Rhinolophus ferrumequinum: one gene and its partner. The protein of the gene in region 2 interacts with the protein of the main gene of each other region in a pairwise test. Links are inferred from orthologs where the notes say so. Each region holds a gene or a part of one and is shown on either strand. Other genes may lie near its edges. The genes, in order: ZBTB5 and DCX.

Region 1 (16,805 bases), on a different chromosome or scaffold from region 2:
AAAATTCATTCAAAGTGCAAGATAAAAACAAGCGTATTTGAATGTAACAGAATATTAACTGTTCATTGATATAGTTTCAGATTCCACATTGCAACTAACCACTTAAGAAAATATCATTTGCTGAGTGTTGTTATAAATCATAAAAGACTATCCAAAATTATCTGAAAAAGCTACTGAAATACTCCTCCCTTTTCCAACCACGTATTTGTGTGATGCTGGATTTTCTTGGTATACTTTAATCAAAAGTATATCACAACAAATTGAATACAGAAGCAGGTATGAGAAACCACCTGTCTTCTATTAGACTAGACATTAAAGAGACTTTCAAAAAAAGTAAAACAAGGCCACTCTGAGCATTCCCTGTACCCAGATGTTGGATTCAAATACCATTCACCAATAAAAGGAACCAGGGCTCCTTGGACAAATGGCTAATGCTTGGACTGAGGCAGGAAATATACAAGATAAGCCTGCAGAATTTTGTAGTGCCAGAAAGTAAGGGTGTGCTTAAAACAAACAAACAAACAAACAAACAAGATAATGGGAGTACTTGAGAGGGACATAGGACTCCACAGGAGAAAGAGCTTCCAAAGGCTAAAGCTGGAACAGCTTGAGCAAAAAGATAAATAAAATAATACTGGTTTATAACCCAAAGTGTAAAATAAATATCCATAGGTCCATACTGATTTAAAGTATGGATTCGATAAATAAATGGGAGAGAAGAGAAAAATCTCTTGTGCAGAAGAATTTCAAATAATTTATGTAGCTATTCTGCCCTCAGGGACATGGATCATATCTCCCCACTCCTTAAGTGTGGGCTATGCCCAATGACTTCCTTCCACAGGACAGTACGGAAAGGGAGGGGAAAAGAGGAACTTCAGACTTGAGAAATCTGACAAACACTACCTCTGCCAGGTGACCGAGGGCAACAGCAAAGGTGACAAGTCATGCTGACAGTTAAGTACATTAGTAAGCATCATGTGTTGATGTAATGAGAATGGCACTTCATTTCTGTGGTCTTTCCCCCTGCAAAACCTGGAACCCCAGTCTAATCGTAACAAAAACATCAGACAAATCCCAATTGGACATTCTACAAAATAAGTGATCAGCACTCAAAATTATCAGTCACCAAAAACAAGGAAAGTATGAGAAACTGTCACAGCCAAGGGGAGCCTAAGGAGACATGATGCCTGATTAAATGTGTTTTCCTGGATAAGATTTTAGAATAGAGAAAGGACAAGAGGTAAAACTAAAGATAACCTGAATAAAGAATGGACTTTAGTTAATAATAATGTATTAATAATGGTTCATTAATTTTAACAAATGCACCCTACTAATGGTAAGATGTTAATAACAGGAAAACTGGGTGTTGGTATGTGGGAACTCTCTGAACTGTCTTCACAATCTTTCTATAAATCAAAAACTGTTCTAAAAATAAAGTTTTTTTTCCAAATGCCACTATTTTTACTAAACACTTGTTTTGGAAAATAGTTATTTTTCATAAAAATATGTTATTTATGTTAACATGTAATGAGCTTATCACTTTTAATGAATGCTTAAATCTTTTTCTCAATTTTAATTTCTAAGATGTTTTATACTGATAGCTATAACCCACAAAAAAGCTCTTTGGAGTCATGAATCATTTTTAAATGTGTAAAGGAATCCTAAAGTCAAAAGTCTGAAAGCCACTGAAGTAGACGTCTCACATACCTGTATACAGAAAATGCATGTATGTGGAGTCTCATTCTTCAAATATATAGGATGAGTGAGACTAAAGGCAGCCTTCCATTTACACATCCTCATATGTTATGCTACTCAAGTGTGTGAAATGAATTGCCTGGCATTTTCTCAGTGTTACCTTCCAGGATCATCACGAAGCGTGCCTTTAACCTGTTACTATTGTCGCCAACTGTCAGAGCACCTATGCGGTCCCAGTAACACCGCACCCCTTCCCATGATGACATCTATTAGTTGGGTGGTGCAGGATTAGTTGGGTGGGAATGAGAGAGTTGAATGCCAACTAAGCGCCAGGTTCAGTAGGTACTTCACGTATATTATTTCTTAGGGAGGACTGTCATCCGGTGTCTAGGGCCGACAACACCCAACTAGTGCAGTGAGTGAAGGAGAAGAGTTGTAAATCCAGATCTGACGACGAAACCTCACTTTGCTGTAATGTGGGCAGCCCCCAGATAGACATGGGCCGGGTGGATGACGACAGGATACTCAGGAGAGGAGAGAACACTACGTACTTACGAGTGTGAGCAAAGGCTAGGAATAAGGATTAGGAGATTGAGGGAGTAAGGGGATGAAGCTGAAGAGCAGGGGTCAAGGTCAAGGATCGGGGGTGAGAGTGAAAAGACAAGTGCGTAAAATAACAGCTAAGGGAGTGAAAATTAGAGCAAGCGTTCTGGAAGATGTAGCAGGAGGGGCTTCTCTTCTCTTACTCAAATCCTCCAACGCTGCATGCCACCACCACCGACCACACTGCCAAAATCACCGACCACACTGCCAAGCCTTCACGGCCAGCAGACTGATTTGGAAGGTGAGGAGGATGTAGGATGAGCTTTGCTTTCTCTTCCCAGTGTCCCTTGCCATTGGCTCCTCCCCAAACCTGCCTTCCATGATGCTGATGCAGAACAAGAATCAGGGACCAGAGCTTTGGGGAGAAGGGAAGGGTCACAAAATACATTCCTGGCAGCAGGCTCACCTGTCATAAGGGGAGAATCTTGGTCTGCTCACCCCTGTCAGGGAGGTGGTCTGTCAAGGTGCTGGGCCACCAGCGGAGTGCTGTCTGAAGGATGGGCGTGTCCAAGACAGTTACATGACTGAAAACACTGTATTTAAACTTAAAAGTATCTTATGACACATTTCACTGCTTTATCCTGTTTAGAATTTTCTACTTACACTGTAACTGGTCTAGAAATTTCCCTTTCTTGGGTACTACATTTTTCTAAAATGTAAAATGAATAGCCAGCTAGCTGACTCTCTAGATGAAAGAACATCTGGAGCCAGTTAACACTCTAAAGATCATACAAACTTCATAAGCATATCAAAATCTATAAAAACCACCATAAGTGACTTCTTTTAGCTACTTATAAATCTGGAACTATATCTAGTTTAACATCTGCTTAAGAAGTCTAAATGTATTTTCCCTTTGTTATTTAGAAAATGTTGCCTGCCACCCCCCAGTTGCCCCCGTACACACAACCTTTTCAGCAATTTAAAAAAATAGCTTTCATTGCCTTTTACCCCGACAGATCAAGAAACATATTTCTTAATGAACAAAAACTATTTTATCAAGAAAAAAGCATGCCAAAGCATTGAAGACACCATTAGTGATGATGCCTTTCCAGTCAAGAAAATGAAAAATAGGTTTAATTCGTTGTTATACCTAGTTTACTTTCTAAGTAGGATATTCCTTATTTCTGAATCATTTGTCAAATCAATAGCATTCAGCAAGGGACTGATACTTTACCTGCCAAGTGACTTTTGACATTCTACTCAAAGAATACAATGTATGTTATTAAATGTGTTTAGATTTTTGTACCATCTGTGGGTTCTTTTCACAACTGAACCCCCAAACAGTGGGTTTTCTTCTCCCTGTCCTCCTCAAATCCTCTAGTAGAGACTAAAATAGGACTAAACAATTGAAGGTCTTGCATATTTAGAAGAAGACTGTTCAGTGGATTTCAAATTATAATCGACTAATTACGATATAATGAAAAATCAGTTATCACAAGTTAACAATCATATTCAGAAGAAAAGGGGGAGCAATTCTCCCTACTCATTTTAAACTTAAGAAGTCGGAAATAAAGCATTTGTAAACTTGTTATCAAGTACACAAAGTAACAGACTACCAAGTATAATTTCCAAAAGCAGACTCACCAGACAATCATCCTTTAAAGTTAGTAAAAGAAACAAAACTTTGTTAGTTTCCATTTATAAGAAACAAGTATTGCTTCCAATAGGATTCCTTTCAATAGCAAACTTTTTTCAGAGTACAAAGGAAAATTCGGAAAATTAATTGGTTATAATTAAGTGAATTAACTGGGTACAAGTCTTTTAACCGTACCAAATGTCATTAAATCTAAGATGCCAGTGATTATAAAATGCAACATATTTCATATAACATTAGGAAAGGAAAAAAAAGCTGTCAATTAGGCCATAGGATAACGCTTACTGATGGCATCCTGTCTTCAAGATTAAAATGGGAACAAAACTGTTTTACAATCAAGGAAATACTAGAACCTTAAACATATCATTCAAATATGTTAGACGATCAGAAGGAAAAGTATCTACAGATAAAATATAATCTTGAATACTAAGAAAGTAATCTATCTATGACTACTCTATTACAATAAAGTCAGTGCTCCAATGCAATTCCTAATCTATTTGAAGTGTGAGAAAGATAAATCAAAGCTTTTAGCAAATATATGCATAATTAATCAAGTGAAAGGCACCCCTTCCCCCAAATTGGTCTTGAAATTAAAAGTCACTTTCAGTGATGAAAATGATGAAAACAACTGTAAGAGCAATAGTTCACTCAGAAACAGCTGGTCTTTTAGCACATAAGTTCACTGAATACTTAAACAAAAGGTGCAGTGTAGTGTTACATTCCATCCCACCTGCTACACTAACAAAAGCTGGCTCTACTAGACAACATCCGTATTTGAGAAATGGTAAGTATAGTAAAAGAGAAATCATATGCTTAAAACTGGAAGAGGAGGAAAATTATTTTACAACAAATTTACATTTAAAAAAATGTTGAAAGCTAACATGGAATCAATACCTTGGGCTTTTCCTTTTCCCTGTCCAAGGAGAAACTGAGGCAGATTCAAGATTCTGTGTCAGCACCACAGCAAGCTTTGTCATATCTGACCGTACACACACTGAAGAACTCAATATAATTCATGCTAAGTACTTTAAACACTAAAACACTTACATGCATTTTTGTATCCGAGTGATTTTTGTGAAACGACTTCAACTTCTCACCATAGTCTTGTGACAAAGCCTCTTTTGAGAGCACTGAGCCCTATATTTAGGAAAACACTCCATTGTAAGATGTTTTTCTTCCATATCTTATCATTTTCAGAATTTTGCTAGACACCTCAATTACCCAGAACACAGCTTGCCAGTATCTCCAGCTAACTACACTATGTTTTGACACAACTTGGAAAAGAAAAATGGCGGAGCAGGAAACAAGTTGACTTCAGGACTCTAAAAGTCCTGGTTCACTTATTCAGCAAAATCCAAGGGCCTAGAACAAGTCTCCAACCAAAGCGTCTTACCTGGCAGGTCATAAAGCTGGGTGCGGTGGCCAGGCCAGTCTTCCCAAGTTTGCTGGGATTTCCAAAGGGATTAAAGCAATAATGCCAGGCCTTTGCTTGGTTTAGGGACGTTTCTCTAAAATTCTTTCTTCTCTCCCCATCTGATCTCTTCCTCCCCCTGCCCCCAACTTTATTCTTTAAGCTTATGGACAACCACCCTCACCACGGAAATCCTAAGACTTTAGCAAATGAAAAGCAAGTTCTCCAGAAGACAGAGGCGCCCAGTCCATCTTCTAAAAATTATCTAAAGCACAACAACCCATACAAAAATAACAAATCATCAATGATGACGAAGGCACAGCACTCTCTCCAACTTGTAAAGAAAAATCCCACTGTATGTAATATCTTCTACTAACTACAACTGAAAAGTATGTTAACAGAATATGGAAAAATTTTGTTTCAATTCTTGAAGGTGAAGGGTTTCTCCTATTCATTCAAATTAACAGAACCCAAGCATACTACTTGGTAATCAAAACTACCATGTTTTTACTTAAAATGTTTTCTCCAAGTTAAATTAGAATTTGTCTTCTTTTCAGAAATTAGCTTCTACAGTACCCTCCACTATGCCAGAATGCAGACTGACTTAATAACAAATGACTTTGGGAAGGAAAAAAGAACCTAACCGTCAACACCGCCCCTGCCCCCACGCCTCAATGCACTGCCTTATATATTTTTGTACAGATCTGCCTGGCCTCCAAACAAGGGGAGAAGGTAGAACGTCTGTTCTTACACGAAGCCTGGAAGTAGTGGGCATTCAATAAATGCCTATAAACACTTTTCCTCTGATAACAAGTTGGGGCATTCCAAAACACTAGCTCCACCCCTCCAGGGTCAGCCTCCAGTTCCCGATTCCAGACCGCCTTGGCCTTGCCCTGGTGAAATGAAACCTTGTTGCTCAAGGACACCCAGGATGGGGGAAAGGAAGCCACATTCGACCCCATCCCGCAGGGAGGCAGTTTCTCCGTTCACCCCGCCAGGCTGCTGGTCCGGAGACCTACCCCACCCGACCCCTCCCTCCCAGTAACCAACGCCTTCAGCCCGCAGATCCGAGGGGGCAAGAGCCCCCGCCCCACCCCGCAGACAACCAGGCGTCCGGACACAGGGGACGCCTGCGCAGAAGAACCCGCCTCCCATCCTCCTGGCCCCTCTGCTCTGAAGGGTAACAATACCCCCTCAGAAAGACAACAGAGTAGGCGAGGGACACCGGTACGCGTCTGCGCGCTCCCCAGATGCCTTGTCGCGACCCCTCTTGCGCCGCCAGCCCAGCACCGCTGGTGCTCAACCGTCTCCACGTGAACGCGCCCGCGCGCGCCACCACCACTCGCTGTGACAGGGTCTTCTCACCTGAGCCGGGCTCCGCCCCCCTTCTCGCTGGAGGAGGCAGTGACCCTTCCCCGATCCGACCCGACAGTGTCGGAGGAGGCGGGAACGTCCAGGCTGGCGTCTCGGTAATGGGATTTCCTCCCCCTTCCGTCCACCCTCCCCACCCACCCCGCCTCTCGTCCCCCAGATCCTTCAGCCCGTTCGCCGCCACACTCTGAGAACACCGCGGCGGCGGCCGACAGTAAACGGAAGTGACGCAATGCGAGAGCACCTACTCCGCCTCCTCCCCTCTGGCCAAACTAAAACCAATCAGCAAGGGAGGGGGCGAGGCCCGGGCAGGAGAGCAGCCAGCCGGCGTGCGGAATCCGGAGGAATTGACTAGGCCGAACCAGAACGCTGACCAATCCATGGTCCCGGGAGCCTCGCTGTGTTTACTAACGATTGAATCCGTGAGCGCTGTGACCAATCACCGTTTGCTTTACAACACGTAAAACTGTTATCAAACGCCTTTAAGGCGGGATTTATCACTAAGCGGCGTTAGTTTTGGGCTATGAAAAAGCTAATGTGTGTCGTAGCCAATCAAATCACGTTGTGGTTGAGGCAAGCGAGTTTTCCGCCTAATTCCACCACTCACAACCACGACTGCCAGGAGGCGGGCCCTCAGGGTAATGCGGTCCCACCATTCGCGGGACCTGGAGGACATCCCCACCCTCCAGACACCGGCCCTTCTGTGACCCCCGGCTCCTCCTCCAAAGCGAGTGGCCTTCGCGAGACTCACACATATTGCGTCGGGGGCTTTCTCACGTCGTGGACTTTGGGAAAAATAAAATTCCAAGAAGCTGTTTAGGTTGAATTAGCCGAAATCTGGCAAACATCCATCTGACGGCAGTTTAGTCCGACAGCGCCCCAAGTCCAGTCCCTGGGCTGGCTTCCCGCAATTCTGAAACCTGAGAATGACCAGCAGGTACCGGCTTCCAACTTGCTCGCTCATTGATCCACAGTTCGTGCCGCAGGGCCCATAAGCCTGCAGTCTCCAAAACCAACCTACCCCAAAACAAAGTTGGACACCTGGACGGTCCTGGACTTCTGTGGGATGCTGTCAGAAAAGAGCAAGCTCTGGAACGGCTCCCGGGATCCCAGGTGCACTCTCAGATGGACAGCACGATCCCGGAGGGAGACCAGCCCGCGTGGCCTCGGAGGGCACCAGGCACTGGGGCAGGAAGAAGCCCTCCTTCCTCGGGTGAAGAGGAGAGAAGAAAGCTTGTAAAGGGCCTTCCCGAGTGAGCTGTTGGGGAACTCCGCGTGGCTCCAGAGACAAAGTCAGGCTGGGGACTGCCTCAAGCTTCTTTTGGGGGGAGAGAAGGGAGACACTATTTTTTAAAGGAACGTCCTGCTGTGTCAGAGGTTAACACCCAAATATTATTACAGCTGATCCATCTCTTCAGACGTTACAGGTTGGAAATATTGCCTTTGGGATTTCTGTAAGGCCTCAATGAAGTCTGATGGTAAATTCTGTTCTTTAAGATTCCCTGACACTTTATAGCCTTTACAGATGTTTTATTGCCAGATTGGCTGGACGGTGTGTGAGGTGTTTTCACACATGACCCTTATAAAAATGCTGTGAGCTAGATATTATCTCAAATTTACAACTTGGCAAAAGCTTAAAATATTTGTATATTCAGTACTTACCGTGTTACCCCGAAAATAACACCTATCCAGACAATCAGCTCTATTGCATCTTTTGGAGCAAAAATTAATATAAGACACGGTCTTATATCATACCCAGGATTAGATTAGATTACATTAGATTAGATTAGATTATACTATACCGGGTCTTATAGTAAAATAAGACCGGGTCTTATATTAATTTTTGCTCCAAAAGACGCATTAGAGCTGATTGTCCAGCTAGGTCTTATTTTGGGGGAAACCCGGTAGGAGAGTACTGAAAAGGCCCCCTCCTATATTGTTGATGGGAGTATCATTGACACTGTTTTTGAAGATAACTTAGTAGTACTTATCAAAATTTTAAATATGCATTCATTCCCTTCTAGGTGGCAATTCCTTTCTAGAAACGTATTCTGAAATACACAAATTAACCTAGATGAAATACACAAATGTAGGAGAATATATAGGAAGCCATTGATCACAGGTTTGTTAGTAGGAGAGAAACAAAAGCTGAATGTGCAACTACAGAGGATTACAAAAAATTGATACATGCATTTTATGGCTCCATCACTAATGATCTCATATACATACAAAACAAAATCAATGAAAACCTGCATGTGGACGTACACATAAAAATTTGTAAATGTATGGCTAAGTGTGAAAGGATACTATCAAGCTATTCATGAGTTACCTCAGTGAGGGGTGTTGGGGAGGGGGCAGTGATAAGGAAATGTTTTAAGATGGCCTTCTTAGTTTATAGTCTTTATATACTTCTGTATTAATATAATGTTTATAAAAAGCTTTATTATTTTAGTAGTATTTATGAAAACCAGGACTTTTAGTTTGTGTGGGTTTTCAAACCATTAGCAAAATTCTTCCTAAATTAAGCTATAAATTTCCCAATAAAAGTCTCAATAAGATACTTTTTTAGAACTAGACACACTGATTCTAAGATTTATAAAGGAAAACAGTATTATAGGAATAGCGAAGAAAATTCTGGAAAAAAATCAACAAGACAGCCATAGCCCTAACAATTACAAATATATTTTATAATACTTTCTTATGTTTAAAAAAAAAAAAAAGGGAGAGATGATTCAGCAAAGATGGCAGAGTAGGAAGCACCAAGAATCTGCCTCCCCACCCAGACAATTGCAAGGGCAGAATCTATCTAATGTAACTATTTTGGAACTCAGGAGTCTATTGAAGGCCTGCAACTTCTAGGGAAGGGTTCGAAAGGTAAATTGCAGTTAATTTTGGTCAATTTTAGCTCTCAGCACAGGAGAAGAAACCCATCCTCCACACCTCAGCCACATGGCAAGTTGCTATGCATGGGTTCCTGGAGCAGTTTGTACCAGCTTGTGGGAGCCACAGTGGACAAAAAGGACCCTGTCCTCCAAATATTTGAGATCACTGATTGCTGCTTGTGATCACAGAGATGCAGATCAAAGAGGCAGGTAGCCATTGTTGTTGTACCTCCCCTTCATTGTTACAAGCCCTTCCCCCTGCTGCTGAAGTGACTTCCATGGGATTTTGGAGCACAAGCTGACAGAATTGAAGGGAGAATAGATAGTTCTACAATAATAATTGGAAACTTCAATATCCCACTCTCAATAATGGACAGAACAACCAGAGAGATTATAATAAGTAAGGAAATAGAGGACTTAACACAATTAACCAATGGATCTAATAGACATATATGGGACACTCTATGCAACAAAAATAACATACACATTCTTCTCAAGTGCACCTAGTACATTTTTCAAAATAGACCACAAATTAGGCCACAAATTAAGTCTCAATAGATTTTTAAAGATGAATATCATACAAAGTATCTTTGACTACAATGGGATGAAGTTAGAAATCAATAACAGAAGTAAAACTGAAAAATTCACAAATTTGTGGAAATTAAACAACACACTCTTAAATAACCAATGGGTCAAATTAGAAATTACAAAGGAAATTAGAAAATACTTAAAGATGAATGAAAATGAAAATACAACAGATGAAAACTTATGGGACACAGCAAAAGCAGTACTAAGGGGGAAATTTATAGCTATAAATGCTATTGAATCAGTAATCAAAAATCTCCTGACAAATAAAAGCCCTGGATCTGATGGCTTCACTGGTGAATTCTGCCAAACATTTAAAGAACTAACACCAATTTTCTCAAACTTTTCTAAAAACTTAAAGAGGAGGGAATACTTCCTAGACCCATTCTATCAAGCCAGAATTACCCTGACACCAAAGCCAGACAAAGACATTATAAGAAAACTACTGACCCATGTCCTCTATAAATATTGATGCAAACATTCTCAACAAAATATTAGCACACTGAATTCAGCAGTATATTAAAAGGATTATACATTATGACCAAGAAGGTTTTATTCCTGGAATGCAAGGATAGTTCAATATACAAAATTGATCAATGTAAAACACCACATTAAAAGAATAAAGAAAAAAAAACATGATCATCTCAATTGAAGCAGACAAAGCATTTGACAAAAATTCAACACCTTTTCAAAAACACTCAATAAACTAGAAGTAGAAGGAAACCACCTCAACATATTAAAAAATGTGAAAATCCACAGCAAACATCATACTCTATGGTGAAAGACTTAAAGCCTTTCCACTAAGATCAGAAACAAGAAAAGATGCCCACATTCACAACTTCTAGTCAACATAATACTAGAATTTCTAGCTAGAGCAGTTAAGGAAAAAAAGAAATAAAAGGTATCCAAATTGGAAAGGAAGAAGTAATATTATCTCTGTTGGCACATGATATGATCTTATATGTAGAAAATCCTAAAGATTCCCCCAAAATCTGTGAGAGCTAATAAATGAATTCAGCCAACTACAACGATACAAAGTCAATACACAAAAATCAGTTGCATTTCTACACACTAACAATGAACAATCTCAAAAGGAAATTTTGAAAGGAATTCCATTTACTATAGCATCAAAAAGAATAAAATATTTAGGAATTAATTTAACCAAGGAAGTAAAAGGCTTATACAATGAAAACTATAAAACATTACTGAAAGAAATTAAAGAAGACATAAATAAATGGAAACACATTCCATGTTCATGGATTGGAAAACTTAATATTGTTAAGATGTCAATACTGCTCAAAGCAATGTGCAGATTCAATGCAATTGCTATAAAAAATCCCAATAATATGTTTTTGCCAATATAGAAAAACTCATTCCAAAATTCACATAGAATTTCAAATAACCTCGAATAGCCAAAACTATCACAAAAAAGAAAAATAAAGCTGAAAGACTCACATTTCTTGAGTTAAAAACTTAACTATGAAGGCATAGTAATTGAAACAGTGTGGTGTTGGCATAAAGACAAACGTAGACCAATGGAATGGAATAGAGAGCCCAGAAATAAACTCAGGCATGTAAGATCAAGTGATTTTGGACAAGGTGCCAAAACCATTCAACGGGAAAAGGACAGTCTTTTCAACAAATGGTGCTGGGAAAACTGCAAAATAATGAAATTGGACCCTTACTTAACATTATTTTAAAAAAACAACTCAAAGTGGATCAGAGACCTAAATGTAAGACCTAAAACTATAAAACTCTTAGAAGAAAATATAAGATAAAAGCTTGACATTGGATTTGGCAATGATTTCTTAGAGATGATACCAAAGGCATAGACAACAAAAGAAAAAATAGACAAATTGGACTTCGTGAAAATTTTTAAAATGTGCATCAAAAGACAATATCAACAGAATATAAAGGCAACCCATAGAATGAGAGAAAATAGTTGCAAATCATATATCTGATAAGGGATTAATATCCAGAATATTTAGAGAACTAAAACTCAACCAAAAAACAAATGTAGCTCCAAAATGAGCAAAGAACTTGAACAGGCATTTCCCCAAAGAGGATATACAAATGGCCCATTAGCATATGAAACATCTCTGATTATTAGGGAAACAAATCAAAACTACAATGAGATATCTCCTCACACCTGTTAAGGTGGCTACTTTCAAAAACATAAAGAATAAACAAGTGATGGTAAGGGTGTGGAGAAACTGGAACCCTTCCTTATGCCCTATTGGTAGGAATGTAAAATGGTACAGCTGCTATGGAAAATAGTATGGCGGTTCCTCAAAATTTTAAAAATGGAATTACCATATGATTCAGCAATTCCATTTCTGGGTATATACCCAAAGAATTGAAAGCAGCATTTCAAACAGATATTTGTATACCTATGTTCATATTAGCATTATTCATAATAGCTAAAATGTGGGAGCAACCCAAATGTCTACCAACAGATGAATGGATAAGCAAAATGTGATATATACATACAATGGAATATTATTCAGCCTTTAAAAGGAAGGAAACTGTGACATGCTATAATATGGGTGAAACTTGCGGACATTATGTTAAGTGAAATAAGCCAGCTAAAAGAAGACAAATACTGATGATTCCGCTAAGTAGGATTCCACTAATGTGAGGTACTTAGGGTAGTCAAAATTATAGAAACAGAAAGTAGAATGGTGGTTGCCAGAGGCTTGGGTGAGATGGAAATTGGAGTCATTATTTAATAGATATAGAGTTTCAGTTTCACATTTGAAAAGAGCTATGGAGATGGATGGTGGTGATGGTTTCACATTATGAATGTATTTAGTACTACCGAACTGTACACTTAAAATTGTTAAGATGGTAAATTTTATGTATATTTTGCCACAATAAATAAAACCCCAAAACTTGGTACTGGTATATGAACAGACAGACAATTCAGTGGATCAAAACAGAGGGTCCACAATAGACCTAAATATATAAGAGAATTTAATGTATGAAAAAGTTGTCATTTCAAAGCAATGGAAGAAATATAGATTAAATTTTGAGCCTGTGAAACTGGGAAGTATTTTGGAAAAAATATATTGGGTATCTATCTAACTTCTTACAACAAATTTATTATCAAATGAATGAAATATTAAAACCTTTTGAAACCAAACTATAAAAGAAGAAAACATGGAACATGCTGTCCATAGAAACCTGTTTTAAATATAAAAATACAAATAGGTTAAGAGTAAAAAGATAGAAAAAGATGTATCATGCAAACACCAATCATAAGAAAGCCAGAATAACTATTTGAAGATCAGGTAAGTGGACTTCTGGACAAGGAATGTTATGAGAGATAAGGAAGGACAATTCTAATGAGAAAAGGGTTAATTCATTAAGAAGAGATAATAAGCCTGAATGAGTATAATCCTAGTAACAAAGATTCAAAACAAATAAAGCAATGAAACTGACTGAACTGAGAATTTCTAAAGACTTAACAGTATCCACCCTTAAGAGTGTTCTTTTCCATTTTTGTGTTCCTCCTAGCAAGTAATTCCTGAGGCCAAGCATTGTGTATTTTTATTCTTATATCTTCCAAATTGTCTTGGGTAGTGTTAGAAGGCAGATCGCTTAAAAGATCTGAAAATTTTTGGAGTCAAATTTGACAGTGTATTAAGATTTAAAAAAAATGTTCATGCTCTTTGACTCATTAATTCAAATCCTAGGATCCCAACCAAAGAATTTATCCAAAAAAACCCAAACAAAGTTTTTATGCTTAAAAAGTTCATGTAATGTTGCATGTAACAGTGAGAAAATTGGGAATAGCCCAAGTGAGCAACTAAAGCATTGGATGTATAAACCCTGTGGCAACATTCAATGGACTATCGTGTGATTTGAGAAAATGCTTACAAGATTATTTAAAAATTTTTAAAAGGAGGATACACAATTGAATACAATAATGTATCAGTTATATAAACATATGCAGATATGCAGAGAGACAAATCTAGAAAGGAATAAAACAGAATGTTAACAATGTTTGCCTCTAGGTGGGGAAAGGATCATGGGTTACTATAATTGCATTCTTTATATTTTTCTGTATTTTTCCCAATATTGGACATCAAAATTGCTTTGATAATTATTGTAAATCTAAAAAATGTTGGGAAAAATAAAAAAATCTGAGTAAGCTAAATCTAACACGATTAAACTTAGGCCTCACATAAAGCTCTGAATCTTTGTTTTTTAAAAAAAATCAGGGATGGGGTTACCAGTTAGCTCAATTGGTTAGAGCGTGGTGCTAATAACACCAAGGTTGCTGGTTCAATGCCCGCATGGGCCAGTGTGTGCGCCCTCCTTAAAAAAATAAAAAAAATAAAAAATGCAGGGATAATGTGACTTAGCAGAAGCAAAATCAAGAATTTTGGTTTATCAACCCTAAACAACTTAACTGAACAGTGTAGATGCTAAGAATAAATTCACATATTGGTTTCATTAAGAGAGGCATGGCAAATAGCAGAAGGGAGGAGATGGGTCCTCTTTATTCTGTGTTACCCAGCCCAGAGTTGGAGTATTGATCCATGTGGTGCTCCAGTTTGAAAAAGATCCAGATGTACTAATGTATGTCCCAAAGTGGTGACCAGATGAAGACAGACCTAGGAACTCTGGTGTGTGAAATAGCTGAGGGGCTGGAAAGAGTTGCTGAGGAGCAAAGGAGCAGGTCAGTGGAAAGTATGGTCAGAGTAGTCAGGCTTTTGAAGGGCTCAGGGCAGAGGAGTTGGTCGTGTTCTGTGTGGCCCTAGAGAAGCAGAACTGGCACCACAGGTAGAAGCTACAGAAGGCAGCTTCAGCTCCATGTAAGGAAAAACCTAGCCAAGGTGAAAAGTCTGCCTTATAAGAAATGAGTCGTCCATGTCTATAGGTGTACAAACAGAATCTACATCAGAAATATGAAGGAAGAGAAAAACAGAATGGAGAACAGAAGAGTGAGACAAACACAGAAAAAGAAACAAAGGGATAAAAAATTGAGGCAGAGGCAGAAGAAAGGAAGAGAAAAGATGAAATAGAAGAAGAAACATTTTTGACAGTACACAATGAGTGGCTACAAACATACTGTGGGATCTTGTCTGCCTTTTCAGGCCTTCATTAGCGATATCTTGAAATGCCAGCAGATGGAGATATTACCCCAGGAAAGGAGGATTCTGCCTCATCCCTTACTTTCAAAATATATATCAAGTTTTCCTCTTCTGAAAAATGATGCTAAGAGACAACTCCAGAAGTCGATGAATTTCCAAACCAAATTTACAAACAAACATTTATGGTAAATTCTGCCCGTGATTACCCTGATTCGAATTTAGAAGAGGTCACTATAACTTTTTGTATTTTGGTCACTGACTGAGTGACCAAATATTGTCCTGTCCCACTTAATGTATATGTGTATTTATATGTATATGGTGTATATGTGTTTTGAATCATTGCGAAATAACTAAACAACATAGTCCCGGTCTCAACCATCCTGTCATTAACACTTTCCTTCCCCAGATAGAATCTCTGTCACTTTGAATTCTTGCCTGTGGTAATTCTGGGAGTCTTTGCTCTAACTCCATATGTGGTACTCTTGGCTCTTTCACCCAGCTATAAACAGCCAATTCTGAGGACTTGAACAGACTTTGTCTGACTGGTAAAGATGCACCTTGAAAGGGAAACAGTCTTGTACAAGAGTGCTTCCCAAGCATAAAGTGCACAGAAATCACCTAGGGATCTTGTTAAAAGTGCAGATTCTGATTCAGATGACTTGATAGGGCAGGAGATTCTGCACTGCTAACAAGTTCCCAGGTGATGCTGCTGGCCTGAGGACCACACTTTGAGAAGCAAGGTCATACAATATGTCCCTTTATCAGGAGGGGCCAGGACACTTCCCTCATGAACTACAATTGACTCCTTGTAGACCCTCCTGTCTTCTTTGTCACCCCTTAACTTTGATCTAACTGTTCATATTTCATTCAACCAGTCAACACATACAGAGAATCTACCATGTGTAAACACAATGCAAGTTCATTTTAACCAATATTATTAAGTATCTTGAGTTCCAGTCCCTATGCTAGGCTCCTAGGATTAGTGATGATTCAGAAACCAGCTTGATGGGGTTCCCACTGCCTAATCTGGGAAAGTTTGAACATAAAAATAAAAATAAATGATAGTAGCATATTCTAATCTACTGAATAAAGTAGGAACCCATAAATTCATACTGATATAATTAATGAGTGAATAAATCAGAAGTATGATGAACAGGATACGATTTACTTAGTCTCTAAGTACCTGCATACAAAATACTTATTAATTACAAAGGAGAAAGAATAACATTACAGTAGTAAAGCCTGATTGATACCACTTTAATTAAGTGATCAAAGTTAATATAAACAGTAATGGGACAAATTGAAATTGTGTGCCACCTGATAGGATACAGTTAGAACAGTCTCATGTTTGTGATATTCCTGCCAACAATGCATAACCTGAAACTAATCACTTGGAAACATTAGACAAACCGAGACTGAGCAACATTCTACAAAATAACTAGCCTGTAATCTTTTAAATTGTCAAATTATGAAAGTCAAAGTAGAGTAAGGAACTGTTCTATTAATAGGTTGAAGGAGACTAAAGAGCTATGACAGCTAAATGCAACATGTGAGTCTGGACAGGA
Region 2 (16,307 bases):
ATTTGGACAGGATATGAGGGGAAGAAGAAAGATTCAACAATGAAACACTAAGCAAGGCAAATGAAAGTCACTCATGGATTTCATTCATTGACCCACTAGGAATACAGGTATAAGGGCCACATTCTATATAGCTCTGGTAAGACAACTGGTGTAACCAAGGAGCTGTGAGAAAGCTGACATCAATAAACCGACATTAGTCTAAATTTCTCCCCTGGTTACTTTCAGTATCTAGAAGCAGCCTGTAGACTAGAGGCATTAGACAAAAGAGTGCCACAAGGCCAGAGTGATTATTAAATGTTTGCTTTTTATTTCATTTCATTTTAGGCTATATTTTAATGAGGCCATTTGGAAACATAGTATGATCTATGGTCCATTATTCCTACAAAGAAATTTTCCTAGATCTACAAAGAAAAAAACACAAACAAGAATTTCTACATTCCTAGGAACTTTCACCATTGTAGTTAGCTGAAGGGGACCATCAAGATCAGCTAATCAAGTACTGTACTTCCCAAGTTTAAGTGCTCACAAGAATCACCTGGGGAGATTTGTGAGAACATAGATTCTGGAGCCCTAGCCCTGCAGATTCTAATTCAATAGATCTGAGATGTAGCCCAGGAATCTATATTTTTGTAAAGCCCTACAAAATTCTTAAAGGCAGCCTGGTTTGGGAACCACTGGCCATTCCAACCCCTCACTAGCATCGCCATTATTATTATTATTATTACATCACTAACAATGATGGTACCTTGTAGCTATAGGTTTATCTTGTCAATGTGTTTCCATAATTACTACCTAATTTTATCCTCACAACCACCTTAATAGATAAAGAAGGCAGCTGTTACTAGTCTCATTTTATAGATAAGAATATTGCAATAGATACACAAAATGTGATCTATCCATACAATGGAATATTATTCCTCAATAAAAAGGAATAAAGTGTTGATAAATGGTACAACATGGATAAGCCTTGAAAACATCTTTTTATAAGTGAAAGAAAGAAGCCAGTCACAAAAGAGAATATAATGTATGATTCAATTTATATAAAATGTCCAGAAAAGGAAAATCTGTAGAGATATAAAGTAGAGTAATTATTGCTTAGGACTGGATAGAATAGGGGAAATGAGCAGTGGCAGCTAATTGGTACAGGGTTTCTTTTCAGGGTGATGAAAATGGCCTAAACTAGATTATGGTGATGGTTGCACCACTTGGTAAATTTTCGAAAAATTATTGAATTTTACACTTAAATGGGTGAATTTTATGGTATGCAAATTATAACTTAGTAAAGTTGTCTTTTAAAAATAGTTGTTTTTAAAAAAGAGAACATTGGATCAAACATGGTGATGATGGAAGGAGAATTGTTGATTCTGGGTGGTGAACACACAATGCAATATATAAATGATGTATTACAGAAATGTACACTTGAAACCTATATAATTTTACTAACCAATGTCATCCTAATAAGTTTAATAAATTAAAAAGAGAGCATCATAATTTATCAGGGTGATCACTTCGTAAGTTATATAAATCTCTAATCACTATGTTGTACACCTGAAATTAATTTGTATGTCAACTGTAATTGAAAATTTTTTTAAATTAATAAATAAATAAAAGAGAGAATATTAGTCACAGTGATGATAAGTCCAAACCTATGGTCATTTAGCTAACCAGCTACAAACTAGGATGGCTCAAACATAATTGCTATCCTTTATTGAGTGCTACTGTGTGCCCGGCATAATACTAAACATTTAATATCCATTGTCTTATTTAATTCTCAAAGCAGTTATTCCCACTTTACAAATGAAAATGTGAGGTTCAGGCAGTCAAAATGGTTTCACCAAGGACACATAAGCTAGCAGGTGGCAAATCTTGGATTTGAACTCAATCTGATTCCAAAGACTGCTCCCATTATAATCTTCTGCCTCCAAGACTTGAACCCAATGCCTCTGATTCTTCACCCAGGGACCTTACCAAACTGTTTCAATTTGAAGTCTCACGGAAAGCAATGTATATGAATTTTGTAATCTTTCATTTAACTTCTTCCAAAAGCGAACAAAGTAAGAGACTCCTGTCCTCCATTCCTAGGTGAGTAGTTCCAAAGGACAAAAATAGGAGAGAAAAATACCCTTTATCTTTATCCTCCTCATTCCAATGCCCTTTCCCATCTAGCTCTGTGGTAGTAGTGGGAAAGCTGGTCACATTTCTCAATTCTATCCTAAGGTATCCAGAATTTCTTTGACTGAATGGGCAGTACTCAGGAGTAGGGGGAGGCATTGAGAGCCTCTGCAGCTTGTGGTTTTAAATGACATATGGATAAATGCAACTGAGCCATAAGCACACTCTACATAGTGAAGGAATTCACAGGAATTATTACCACAGCATCCTGGAATGGTAGATGATAAAAGTACAATTCAACAGGACTTAAAAGGATCAAAAGAAAAGGAAGCTACAGTCTTCAAAATTACTTTTATTATCTATATTGAACTAAGATTATCATCTCTCTCTCTCTCTCTCTCTCTCTCTCTCTCTCTCTCTCTCTCTCTCTCTCTCTCACACACACACACACACACACACACACACACACACAAATCCAGGGGGGGTGGAAATCAATATCAAGGAATTGTCTTTGAGCAAGACATGTTAAAAAATAGATTGTGGGTGGGAGGATTTGTGCATGACAACTTTCTTATATCAGACCCAAGAACAGTATAATCCTTGCTCTGAATACAATGTCATTTGGTTCAGAAGTCTGCCATAGTGTCTATCATGGTCTTTAGAAGATTACAGCTAGTAAAAATGAGGACATACTGGGAAATGAGGATATGCTACATTCAGGGTGCTTTGTTTGTGAAAAGTATTACAGAGAACACCCTCAAATTTGACTGAGATATGTATTTTACAGTGACAAAAGACTCACCTTATCAATTACTTTGTTGGACAGCTCCTTCGGCCTAGCTTCAAACCCTTCAAGTTTGCCCTGACTCTCCTTTATTTCAAGATATACACTAGGATGGCCAATCCTTCAATGTTCAGGAGAAGCCTAGGATTAACCACTGCCTGGCCATTCAGCACATGATCAAATAATTTAAGCCTCTTCAGCATCGCTTTTCAAGGTCAACTATGTAGAAAAACCTTGGACTTGAACCCTGAGACCCAGATCTAATAGCCATATGGATATTGTCTCTTATAAAGTAACTGGCCCCAAATCACTTGACCTAACTTGGGAAATAGCAGTTACGTGTGACAATGTGATCTTGTATAAGGGAAGCCCTCATGCTCCTTTGTCTGGGAACACAAGAAACCTACAAGCAGTGAAGCGGAGGGAGACGGGCACTCCCACACCAATTCATTGAATATGCTTTTTCTCCTTCCTTGTCGGCTGTTTCATAATTTGGTTTCCCTAGAGACCTGCCTGCTGTAAACTCACCTTTGCTCAGGGAATGGAAGGAGTGAGAAGAGAGGGCTGGAAGGTGGGAGAGAGTTTGTGGGGGCAGGGCCATTTTCATTATCACCACTCCTTAAGGTTCTCCTCTAAAGCATTGTGTCAGGTTAAACTGATCACATATGTTATACCAATTTAAAAGTGGGGGTAGGGAGGCATCCTCAATATAAGTGACTTGACAAAGTAAAATATATAAACACATCCCAACATCTATTTTCTAAATGAGCACAAAAAGAAGACTTCATGGCTTAGCAAGTTTTGGCAAGAGTGAGGATTTTCCCTGTTTTGGGGTAGATACAGAGGTTGTCAAGATTTTCAGCAATCTAGTCATAAAATTCAATTGCAAAACCAAAATGTAGAGAGGATTTAAAGGGATTTAGGTACAGTGAGTCAGTTCATATTCTAATAGGAATAGTGTATTAAAATACCAGGCATACCTACAGCTTTCTTTGGTATTTCTCTCAATGACCTCAGCCTTAGGGACACACCCTGATGTGGGCTTTTTAGAAGCAACAGCTGAGCAGTAACCACTTACCTAAAAGTATAATCCTTTGTGAATATGTCCAAGAAATCCTGCGTTTAGGGTGCATATTTCCATGAGTTGCAGTTCACAAATAGTCTCTTAGCAGTTCAAAGAATATTTGAGTACATTTTCTTTCTGTTAACCCAACCAGACTTCTTTGCTCATTTAATACCCCTAATGATTTCATACTCTGCCTCCATAGTTCTACTTAGAGTTAATTTTGAACAACAATTCATATTCTGAGTCAATGACACTTCAAATATTCCTTTGTGAACCGTGGCGGATAAGCACAATGCATTATCACCACCATCTACATTCAACCCAGCAGAGACTGAAAGCCATGAGGGATAATGGCTGATGGCCCTGTTGATGCCTATAGAATCAAAAGCCTGAGCATCATCCTGGTATTTTCTCAAATCTATTTCCTAATTTATTTCATTAAAATCCAAGAAATATTACCAAAACCAATGATGCCATCTCCCACCAAGGGCCACCACCCACTTTATTAATTACCTTCCTCCAGTTCGTCCATGCTTCCAATTTTCCTGGATCCGTCAATGGTGTAAATGTAACGCACTCCCTGAGGCAGGTTGATGTTGTCAGACAGAGATCGAGTCAGGTCAGCCAGCAAGGCATCGAAGCTGCGAAAACGGTCAGAGGACACAGCGTACACAATCCCCTTGAAGTAGCGGTCCCCATTGCGGTAGAAACGTACCTTCTTGGCTTTCTTCTCGTTGCTCAGTGCCTGCAAGGTTCTGGTTCGGTAGAAGCTACAATGGGCGCTGTGAGTGGGGCTAGGCAGCCCATTCATCCGTGAGCCTCTCATGTTTCTGGATGTCTTATCTCTTTCGTCAAAATGTCCAAAATCAAGTTCCATATTTTGATAAAACGTCAGAGACCTGAGTGTTGGAGAAAAAGGCAGGGGAGAAAAAAGGCAAAGAAAAAGTGGTGGGGAGGGAAAAAAAAAAAAAGAAAGGAATTCAAATATTAGCCAGATCCAGATCTGCAATCTGCTGCTTGTGAAAAGAACTGGTTGAAAAAAATCCCCTGACCCATCTGCTGCTTGCCCCTGACCTGCAGGAATATTGATCTTAACAGAGAAAAAGGAGGGGCTAAGAGGGTGCTGGTGGTTGTGGGGGTTGGGGCAAGAGATAGAGAGGGAGGCACTTTTGGCACTATTCCAATAGAGGAGAGAGAGGGATTTTGAAATAGCTTAAAATCCTGGGACCTACTGACAGTGGCTCTTATGAAATTGTAACTTTGGGCTAAATACATTAAAACTGGTATCTGTTTCCTCATACATGTTCACATGACTAACAGTTGTAAATGAATCCAGAGCCTGACAGAATGCCCTTTAAAGACAACAGAAGGAGGTAGCCAAGGTGAGTATCTCCAGCTTAGGAAGCGATTTTTGCATATCAGTAAAATGAGTATGAAGTGGATTTTTTAAATTTTATTCCAAACCCTCTTTCCTACTCTAATGTGTGCATAACCTCACCCCCCACCAGAATGAACTAGGATTTTCTTTTAAAGGGACAGCCTCTAGGGAATAGCCAGTGTCTTTGTGCTATTCATCAAACCCTTTCCCCACCAAGCTGGTGCAGCTATCCAAGATTCACAAGAAATAAGCTGAAAAACAAAAAGGATTAGAAAAATCAGTTATTTAACAAGTTATAAGCTGTTTCCCTCTGGTACAATTTGGTCACAAAATCCTTTTCTTTGCTTTTCTTTTCTTCTTTTTTCCCAGTGCTTTATCCCCTCCCCACTGATGCAGCCCTACCTCTTAATGGAATAATTTGATTGTTGAAAGATTCCCAAATGAGTCCCTGAAAACAGCATATGGGACCATTAGAAGCAAGCACACCTTTCATTGTTCTGGATTTCTACCCTGACCGAAGGGGCATTTTGCCCTCAGAGCAGGCAATTCACCCCCAAACTTGTCTATTGCCCAGGTATGTTAGCTAGGAAAAAGATGGTCATCTGTTCAGATTTGCTTTCCCCCTTCTGCTGAACCAAAAACAAACAAACAAAACAAGAAAGAAAGAAAATCAAAACATGTAATGAAATACAACAGAAATCTCAAAAGCTAGCAAAGCTAATGACAGCGTAGGAACTGGACTATTAACATGCATCTCACAGATGGGGATGAAAGGGCTCACAAAGCAAGCAGGGCTCAGCTGCTACACACTGCCACATTGAGATATTTGCAAGGGACCCGGACACAGGAGATAAAAGAGGGCTAGTGTTGGTAGGTTTGCCAGGCTCAGTCCCCCTTTCCTTCCAATGTCACCATGACCTGTGCTGAGCTCAGCATTGTCTCTGTCAGACAACCTGCAGTGGAAAGAGACCCCACCTCCTCAAGACAAGTAGCAAGCATTTCCCCAGGCATGCAGCAACCCTTGGCTTTCCTTTAAGGTCAGGGGTGGTATTATTCTACATCAACATTACAGTGAAAACAAAGCAACATCAAACTCACTTTTCCAAAGGAAAATCCCAGGTAGAGGCTTAGGGGAAAAATCTGAGAACAAGGCAGGGAAAAAAAGAAGAGAAAGACAGAGAGAGAGTACACCCTTTGCCTTGTGCTTTTCCCGTTTGACATTTGTTATATTCTCCCTGAAAATCACTCAAATGCCCCACTCACCGGTTTTCTGCTGGTTGGGTGGAGATGCTGAGAGAAAGAAAACCAATCTCTCTATGCCTTTGTTGTCTGAGCTCCAAGCAAGAAATTCCTGCCAGGGTGGATAGATGCCTTCTAGGTCCTAGTGCCTTGTCCAACATCTCCCTTATATTCAGACTTAGTGAATCCCCCAAATCTCCTATGATTAATTACATGCTTTTTTTTCTCAATTCACAGGCTGCATTAATAGCTAGAAAGATTTCATTATAACCAACAGGAAATTGCAGGATAACAAAAAGATTGCACAAGCAAGTGCAGAATGCTCTAATAAGAAACGTGCTAGCCTTTTCTTTTAGGGAATAGACAATTCCACTTTGCCAAACCTAGAACTAATCTTCCTGGGGCTGGACTCAGTCAAACCAGGCTTCCTAGAAATTGTAGCTCTCTTTCTTTCACCTTCTTGAGAAAAAAACAATCAAATCTGAAAATTCTTTAAGGCATTTTAGTTTACGCATCAAACAACTGGTTATTTTTGAAGTGAGAACAGAGGAGTAGACTAAGAGGAAGTAGGAAACAGACAAGAAAAAGGAAAAGAGTTCCAGAATTTCATGGAAGACAGAGTTGAGAAAAGACCCCATAGAACTTTCATCTTCATGTAGTAATTTGGTTAATGTGATTTGTGGCATTTACCTTCGGGAGTTTGAGAGTTCAAATCCAATCCAGAGACCTTTCTATGTGAAGTGAGTCTGATGGTACAAGATAAATATTAAACTCTCTCTCATCAAACTGCCTATTTGTTTCTAATTGACTTCTTTATATCAAATGTTTTAAAAGGGACTAGGAAGCATCCAAATTTAATTAAGTAATGTAGCCAAATTATAAGACAGAAAAAGAGAAAGGTGAGAGACTAAAGCGGGGTGTGCTACTATCTTCACAACTGAAGCTACATACATAAATATGAAACAGTCTTTAACTACATGTTTCCATTTTTTACTTGGCCTCCAGGAATCTCAGAGTTAATAGTATGCTCAGTAATTATCTTATATCTGATTCCTAGTACAACTGACCCTCTTTTTTACATATAACTGTTGCGGATTTACAGTAAAGCACTTTCCATGCACGTGTTTTACCTTGAAATAGGATAAAAATTATGATTTTCCTTTTCTGGAAGGTGTTGGATCAGCAAAGCCTAGCTTGGTGGTCAGCCTTAAGTGTGCAACCTGCGCAGTCAAGTCCATTTAACACCTTGTTGCTGCTCTCCCGGTTTCTAAGTAAGTCCCTCAGGGGATTGCATGCATGTTTCCTGTTCTCTTCCATTTGTTTCTGCATAACATTGAGGCCACCTCTAGAAAACCCAGGGACAGTCAGGTCAGGAGAAGAGAAATATCAAAGAATGGGAGCAGGGAAATATGGAAATTCCTATCAACGCTTGAAACTTCTTTGTCCAGCAAGGCCAGTGTCATAATTATTTTTTTCTTGCATATCATAAGCATTCCGTAAATATACAGCAATTGATTTTGCATTCAATTCAAAATCATTCAATTTCCAGTGAGGATATAAGAATGGGTGGAATTTTAAAACTTAAACATTAAGGATTTGGAATAGACTTTATTCTTTTTTTTTTTTCAATTAAAGTTTACTGGGGTGACAATTGTTAGTAAAGTTACATAGATTTCAGGTGAACAATTCTGTATTACATCATCTATAAATCCCATTTTGTGTTCACCACCCAGAGTCAGTTCTCTTTCCATCACCATATATTTGATCCCCTTACCCTCATCTACCACACTCCTCGCGTCTTATCCTCTGGTAACCACTAAACTATTATCTGTGTCTATGAGTTTTTGTTTCTCATTTGTTTGTCTTGTTCTTTTGTTGTTTTTGGTTTATATACCACATATCAGTGAAATCATATGGTTCTCTGCTTTTTCTGTCTGACTTATTTCGCTTAGCATTATAATCTCAAGATCCACCCATGTTGTCACAAATGGTCCTACTTCACCTTTTCTTACAGCCGAATAGTATTCCATTGTGTATATATACCACAACTTTTTTATCCATTCATCTATTGAAGGACATTTTGATTGTTTCCATGTCTTGGCCACTGTAAATAAAGCTGCAATGAATATTGGAACACATATGTCTTTATGGATAAATGTTTTCAGATTATTTGGGTAGATACCCAGGAGAGGGATTGCTGGGTCATATGGTAATTCTATTCGTAATTTTTTGAGGAATCACCACACTGCCTTCCATAGAGGCTGCACCAATCTGCATTCCCAATAACAGTGTATGAGGGTTCCTTTTTCTCCACAGCCTCTCCAACACTTGTTACTATTTGTCTTGTTGATGATAGCCATTCTGACTGGGGTGAGGTGATATCTCATTGTGGTTTTTATTTGCATTTCTCTGATGATTAGTGATGTTGAGCATTTTTTCATATGTTTTTTTGCCATTTGTATGTCCTCTTTGGAGAAATGTCTCTTCAGGTCGTCTGCCCATTTTTCAATTGGGTTATTTGTTTTTTTGTTGTTCAGTTGCATGATTTCCTTGTATATTTTGGATATTAGCCACTTATTGGAGGTACTGTTTGCAAAACTCTTCTACTCAGTTTGTTGCCTCTTTATTTTGCTGATGGTTTCTTTGGCTGTGCAGAAGCTTTTAAGTTTGATATAGTCCCATTCATTAATTTTAGCTTTTATTTCCCTTGCATTTGGAGTCAAATTCATAAAACGCTCCTTGAACCCAAGTTCCATAAGTTTAGTACCTATGTTTTCATGTATGCAGTTTATTGTTTCAGGTCTTATGCTTAAGTCTTTGATCCATTTTGAATTAATTTTGATACATGGTGACAGATATCAGTCAAGTTTTATTCTTTTGCACATGGCTTTCCAATTCTGTCAGCACCATTTATTGAAGAGGCTGTCTTTTAACCATTGAATGTTTTTTGCTCTTTGTAAAAAATTATCTGTCCATATTTATGTGGTTTTATTTCTGGGTTCTCAATTCTATTCCATCGTTCTATATGTCTCTTTTTCTACCAATATCATGCTGTTTTGATTCTTCTTGCCCTGTAGTACAAGCTAAAGTCAGGGAGAGTGATACCTCCAGCAATGTTCTTTTTTCTTAAGATTGCTTTGGCTATTTCGGGTCTTTTGTGGTTCCACACAAATCTAATGATTCTTTGTTCTATTTCCTTAAAAAATGCCACTGGGGTTTTGATGGGGATGGCATTAAATCTGTATATTGCTTTGGGTAATATGGCCATTTTAACTATATTGATTCTTCCAATCCATGAGCACGGAATATCTTTGCATTTCTTTGTGTCTTCTGCAATTTCTTTTAAAAATGTGTTATAGTTTACAGCATATAGGTCTTTCACATCCTTGTTGAAGTTTATTCCTAGGCACTTTATTCTTTTTGCTGCAATTGCAAAAGGAATTGTTCTTTTTTCTTTTTCTGAGATGTCAATGTTAGTATATAGGAATGCGATGGACTTTTGTATGTTGATTTTGTAGCCAGCATCTTTCCTGTATTCGTTGATTGTAGAGGGCGGGTGCCTGTAAGGCACCATCACATGACTGAGAAGCATGAGATAGAGGAAGTTACTTGGGTCTTTAGATAACACCCACATTCTGTAGGGTATGTCCAGAGGGCTTAAAACCATCAGCCTGCGGCAACCCTGCTTACGTTAATGCCCCTCCACCCAGCACAAAAATGTATATAACCCATGATTGAGCTGCAATAAGGAGAGACTTGATCAGAACTCCTGTCTTGTCTCCGGTCTTTGTGTCTCCCAATTTCCTCCCTTCTAGGTACTTCGGGGTCCCTCGTGTAGTGTCCCGCGGGTCGGGACAACTGACGCCCAACGTGGGGCCTGAAGTCTCCTAGCAGATGAGACGCCTGAGTTCGTCCGGTCTAAGGAGATGCAGCATATTTCTTCTTTGATCACCATAAGACTACCCAACTTGTGGGAGATCTGTAAAGGTAAGCGGACGACTCCTTCAAAAAATGGGACATATATTTGTGTTCTAGACTTATGTATAGTCTACAGGCTTCCCCTCAGACACTTAGACTAGGGTTCCCCTAACCTGTTGTCCCAGTCTCCCTTTTTATCTGCTCTCAGCTCACTTTGGGTTTTAGTCATTCACCAACGAGACAGTTTTCTAGGTGTTTGGGACCGTTTGAGCGAGATTTTGCCTGCTTACTTTGAGCTCCAATCGTCCACCCAGAGGATTTCCCGACTGGTTGAGTCCCGACTGGCTTTCGCCTGAGGGTCGTTACCAGCCGCGTCACCTCTCGGGATCCGTGTTGGCGGATTATACCAACCGATTGCTCACGTAAGGGCTTTTTCTCCTCTCACCCCAACACCCCCGTCGCTCCGGCCGGGTGAGTCCCAAAAGACATTCGTCTGCGGGTCGTTACCATCCGTGCCGTCTCGTTTGGGTCCGTGTTGGCGGATTGTACCAACCGACTGCCTACGTGAGGAGAGTCTTTATTCCTTATCATAATGGGACAAGAGGTTAGTGTTCATGACAAGTTTATCTCAGGACTAAAAGAGTCCTTACAAATAAGGAGAGTTAAAGTCAAGAAAAAAGATTTAGTTATCTTTTTTTAATTTCTTAAAAGATGTTTGCCCTTGGCTCCCTCAGGAAGAAACCATAGACCACAAAAGATGGAAAAGGGTTGGAGATGCCCTTAATGACTTTTATAAAACTTTTGGCCCTAAAAAAATCCCCATCACTGCTTTCACTTATTGGCATTGCATTAATGAGCTACTTATGGTAGATCGCTACACCCCTGACATCGACCGAGTGTTACAAGAAGGAAACACATTTTTACAAAACGCTTCCCGCCCCTCCTCCTCCTTACAGGACCCCTCTTCTAAGTCCTCCCACGATTCAGATTCTATTTCTATTTCAATGCCTCCTGAAGATCCTGAGACCACCAAAAAAGATCCTAGTAAGCCCTTATATCCTCCCCTATCACCTAATTGTCCTGATCTTAATGTAAATTCTAGCCCACCTGAGGACGATCAGTTAAGCCCTGAGGATGAGGCTGATTTAGAGGAAGCTGCCGCTAAATATCATAATCCTGACTGGCAGTTTCTGGCCTCTAATCAATTGCCCTCTCCCTATAATCCCCAAATGCCTTTAGCTCCTATCCACGATCCTGATCAAACTCTCCTCTCCCACCAAGTCCAACAATTACAAAGAACCGTTAAACTCAAAAAACAACATCTAACTCTCCTTAAACAACTTCAACAGTTAGATTTACAACTCTCCTCTGCTGCTACTCAAAAAATTCCCCCCTTTCCATAAATCCTACAAAAAAATTTCCCATCTCAAATAAAAAAAACCCTCTTAATCTTTTCCCTGTTATTGAATTCCCCCCAATAAAAACTGAAGGAGGCAGTGCAGATAGTGATGAAGACCCCGACAGAGACAATAAAGAACCCGCCAGACACTATAAACGCCTTGATTTAAAAACCACAAAAGAACTCAAAAAAGCGGTGGACGAATATGGCCCCACGGCCCCCTTTACACTCTCAATTTTACAATCCCTAGATGACCTCTGGTTAACCACCCATAAATCTGCCAACAATGAGCCAAGAAACAACAAAAATTTTGGATCCTCAGATGCTTATTGGATTCAAAATCTCTCCCCCAATAAGCCCATGCTAGATTTAAAACTTGATGGAAAAACCTTTAAAGGCCTTATTGACACTGGTGCTGATGCAACCATTATTAGACAAGAAGACTGGCTGCTTTCTTGGCCCCTTTCTGACACACTTACTCACCTACAAGGCATAGAACAAACAACTAACCCCAAACAAAGTGCCAAGTTCCTAACATGGCTAGATAAAGAAAATAACTCTGGCACAGTACAACCTTACGTTGTACCCAACCTCCCAGTAAATCTGTGGGGCCGTGACATATTATCCCAAATGGGAGTAATCATGTTCAGCCCCAATTCCAAGATAACCACCCAGATGTTAAAACAAGGGTTTCTCCCAGGTCAGGGATTAGGAAAACAAGGACAGGGAATTAAAAAACCCCTATCCACTGCCCAGCGCCCGCCTCGATTAGGCTTAGGACATTTTCACTAGTGGCCTCTGACCAACCTGCACCCCATGCTGACCCTATATCCTGGAAAGACAACTCGCCCATATGGGTGGATCAGTGGCCACTAAGTTTAGAAAAACTAAATGCTGCCAATCAGTTAGTACAGGAACAATTGGCGGCAGGGCATCTAGAGCCCAGTAACTCCCCCTGGAACACACCTATCTTTGTCATAAAAAAGAAATCTGGAAATTGGAGACTTCTCCAAGACCTTAGGGAAGTCAATAAAACAATGATAATTATGGGCACCCTTCAACCAGGCCTACCTACCCCTGTAGCTATTCCCTCGGGATCCTTAAAAATCATTATTGATCTCAAAGACTGCTTCTTCACTATCCCTCTACACCCTCAAGATAGACAACGTTTTGCTTTCAGCATACCTATAACTAATTTCCAAGGGCCCATGCAGAGATTTCAGTGGAAGGTCTTACCTCAGGGCATGGCCAACAGCCCGACACCGTGTCAAAAATTTGTTGCTCTGGCCATCGATCCCATTCGAACTCAGTGGCCCTCTTTTTATATTATTCATTATATGGATGATATCTTAATAGCTGGCAAGAATGGGTCTGACCTCCTTTTGTGCTGTGACGCTCTTGTCAATAGCCTACAAAACAAAGGCTTACAAATAGCTCCCAATAAAATTCAGTTATAAGATCCCTACACCTATCTTGGTTTTAAACTCCAGGGTAAATATATTAAAACTCAAAAAATTCAACTCAAAACCACCCATTTAAACTCTTTAAACGATTTCCAAAAATTATTAGGTGATATAAATTGGATCTGTCCATACTTAAAACTTACTACAGGAGAACTAAAACCTCTCTTTGATATATTACAAGAAGACTCAAACCCAACCTCCCCACGCAAGCTAACTAAGGAAGGTCTGCTTGCGATAAAAAGAGTAGAAGAGGCCATCAGTCAACAATTTATCACCTTTATTGACTACACTCAGCCCCTTAGGTTTATCATCTGTGCCACGCCACACACACCCACCGGTGTCTTTTGGCAAACAGCACCTTTGATGTGGTCGCATCTCCCTGCCTCCCACGAAAAAACTAAAATACCATATTATTTGTTAGTTGCAAAACTTATCACAATTGGCAGAGAAAACGGACGCCGATACTTCGGTAAGGAGCCCGACATAATCATTCAACCTTAAACAAAAACAGAAATTAATTGGCTCTTACAAACAACAGACCAGTGGTTATTAGCCTGCGCCTCCTTCTTAGGGCACATTGACAACCATTATCCCTCTAATAAGCTCTTTTGCTGGCAGATCGAATCCCCTATACCATATGTTTCTGACGGCGGGGGTCCAGCCGATCTCCAATCCAATGAAAAACGCATTAAAAAATTTGCTGAAATACAAAAGACCCTTAACCCTAAACTTACCTATCACCCTTTGGCCCACCCTAAAAAACCGGGTCACGTGGACATTGATCCCCAGACTTTTGACATTCTTAGTTCTACCCACAAGTTATTGCTTTCTGTTAATTCATCCTACGCCACAGACTGTGGCTGTGTTTACTACAAGGCACCCCTTTACCATTAGCTATACCCTACCCCTTTGTCACCTCTACTACCAATAATTCATGCAACATAGCTCTCCCTTTTTTAGTCCAACCCCTTGGCTTTAACAATACCCCGTGCATCCTCTCTCCCACTCAAAACGATACTACAGAGGTTAATTTAGGAAGCCTCTCCTTTACAAATTGCTCCTCCTTCATTAATGTATCCTCTCCTATGTGTGCACCCAATGGATCGGTATATATTTGTGGAAATAATTATGCCTACACCTATTTACCACAAAACTGGACAGGAGTTTGTACCCTAGGCTCCCTCCTCCCAGATGTATCCATCATTCCAGGAGATGAGCCAGTCCCTATCCCGACTTTCGAACATATTGCAGGACGCACTAAACATGCAGTCCATTTTATTCCCTTATTAGCGGGTCTATCTAGGCATCACCACCGCACTTGCCACCGGGTCCGCGGGGATAGGACATTCCCTAGTACAATACCATAAATTATCTGGACAACTCATATCAGATGTCAGGTACTCTCAGAAACTATCCAAGATCTTCAAGATCAGGTTGATTCCCTAGCAGAAGTTGTCCTCCAAAACAGGAGGGGATTAGATTTACTTACTGCAGAAAAAGGGGGCATCTGTCTGGCCCTCGGAGAAAAATGCTGTTTTTATGCTAACAAATCTGGAATTGTTCGTGACAGAGTCAAAAAATTACAAGAAGACCTTGAAAAAAGAAGAAGAGACCGCCTTTCCTTTCCAACCCTCTCTGGACCGGATTCAATGGACTTTTACCCTACTTACTACCCCTGCTTGGCCCCATACTCGGGTGCTTTATCCTACTATCACTGGGACCCATACTCCTCAATAAACTCATGCGCTTTCTCAGACAACAAATAGAGGCCTTGCAGGCCAAGCCCATACAGATCCATTACACCCGACTGGAGATGCAAGAGCGAGGAGATCCCTATCTCCAATAACAGGAGTCATAAAACAGGACTCCTCCCCTGTGAGATGAACTGGATATCCAATGATGGGTAAGAGGACAGCTCTCTAAGTAACATAAAAAATCAAAAACCTGTCGCTGTACCAGGTTTCACAGAGATGGACTGTCCCAACCTAAGACAGGCACAGTTCCCTAGGGGCTCAGAGCTCTTTTTTATAAAACAGAAAAGGGGGACCTGTAGAGGGCGGGTGCCTGTAAGGCACCATCACATGACTGAGAAGCATGAGATAGAGGAAGTTACTTGGGTCTTTAGATAACACCCACATTCTGTAGGGTATGTCCAGAGGGTTTAAGACCATCAGCCTGCGGCAACCCTGCTTACGTTAATGCCCCTCCACCCAGCACAAAAATGTATATAACCCATGATTGAGCTGCAATAAAGAGAGACTTGATCAGAACTCCTGTCTTCGGTCTTTGTGTCTCCCATTTTCCTCCCTTCTAGGTACTTCGGGGTCCCTCGTGTAGTGTCCTGCGGGTCGGGACAGTTGATTGTTTCTAATAGCTTTTTGGTGGAGTCTTTAGGGTTTTCTATATATAGCATCATGTCATCTGCAAAGAGTGACAATTTAACTTCTTCATTCTCAATTTGGATGCCTTTTATTTCTTTCTCTTGCCTGATTGTTCTGGCGAGGACTTCCAACACTATGTTGAAAAGCAGAGGTGATAGGGCACAGCCCTGTCGTGTGCCTGAACGTAGAGGAAAGGACTTCAGTTTTTCACCGTTACTTATAAGATTAGCTAAGGTTTTGTCGTATATGGCCTTTATAAATACCTTTATGTTAAGGTATTTTCTTTCAATACCTATTTTATTAAGTGTTTTAATCATAAATGGATGTTGTATCTTGTCAAATGCTTTTTCTGCATCAATTGATAAAATCATATGATTTTTGTCCTTTATTTTGTTTATGTCAGGTATCACATTGTTGGATTTGCATCTGTTGAACCATCCTTGTGCCCCTGGGATGAATGCCACTTGATCGTGATGAATAATCTTTTTAATCCATTGTTGCATTCGATTTGCTAGAGTTTTGTTTAGGATTTTTGCATCAGTATTCATCAGAGATATTGGCCAGTAG

What was found.
Region 1: the proteins of DCX (region 2) and ZBTB5 interact in binary tests that used the Homo sapiens proteins (3 or more experiments, as listed by UniProt). The two-hybrid records come from large-scale screens. The link is inferred for Rhinolophus ferrumequinum from reciprocal best matches to the Homo sapiens genes DCX and ZBTB5.

Annotation. Positions count from the first base shown.
Region 1 is NC_046295.1:53,161,595-53,178,399, forward strand, and holds the start of ZBTB5 (zinc finger and BTB domain-containing protein 5), read right to left. Parts: upstream 6,797-16,805; 5' UTR 6,669-6,796; intron 5,586-6,668; exon of another isoform or gene 5,286-5,585; intron 5,030-5,285; 5' UTR 4,942-5,029; coding exon 4,940-4,941; intron 1-4,939. UniProt on the Homo sapiens protein: May be involved in transcriptional regulation.
Region 2 is NC_046284.1:42,665,170-42,681,476, reverse strand, and holds the start of DCX (neuronal migration protein doublecortin), read right to left. Parts: upstream 6,656-16,307; 5' UTR 6,604-6,655; intron 4,862-6,603; 5' UTR 4,840-4,861; coding exon 4,476-4,839; intron 1-4,475. UniProt on the Homo sapiens protein: Microtubule-associated protein required for initial steps of neuronal dispersion and cortex lamination during cerebral cortex development. May act by competing with the putative neuronal protein kinase DCLK1 in binding to a target protein.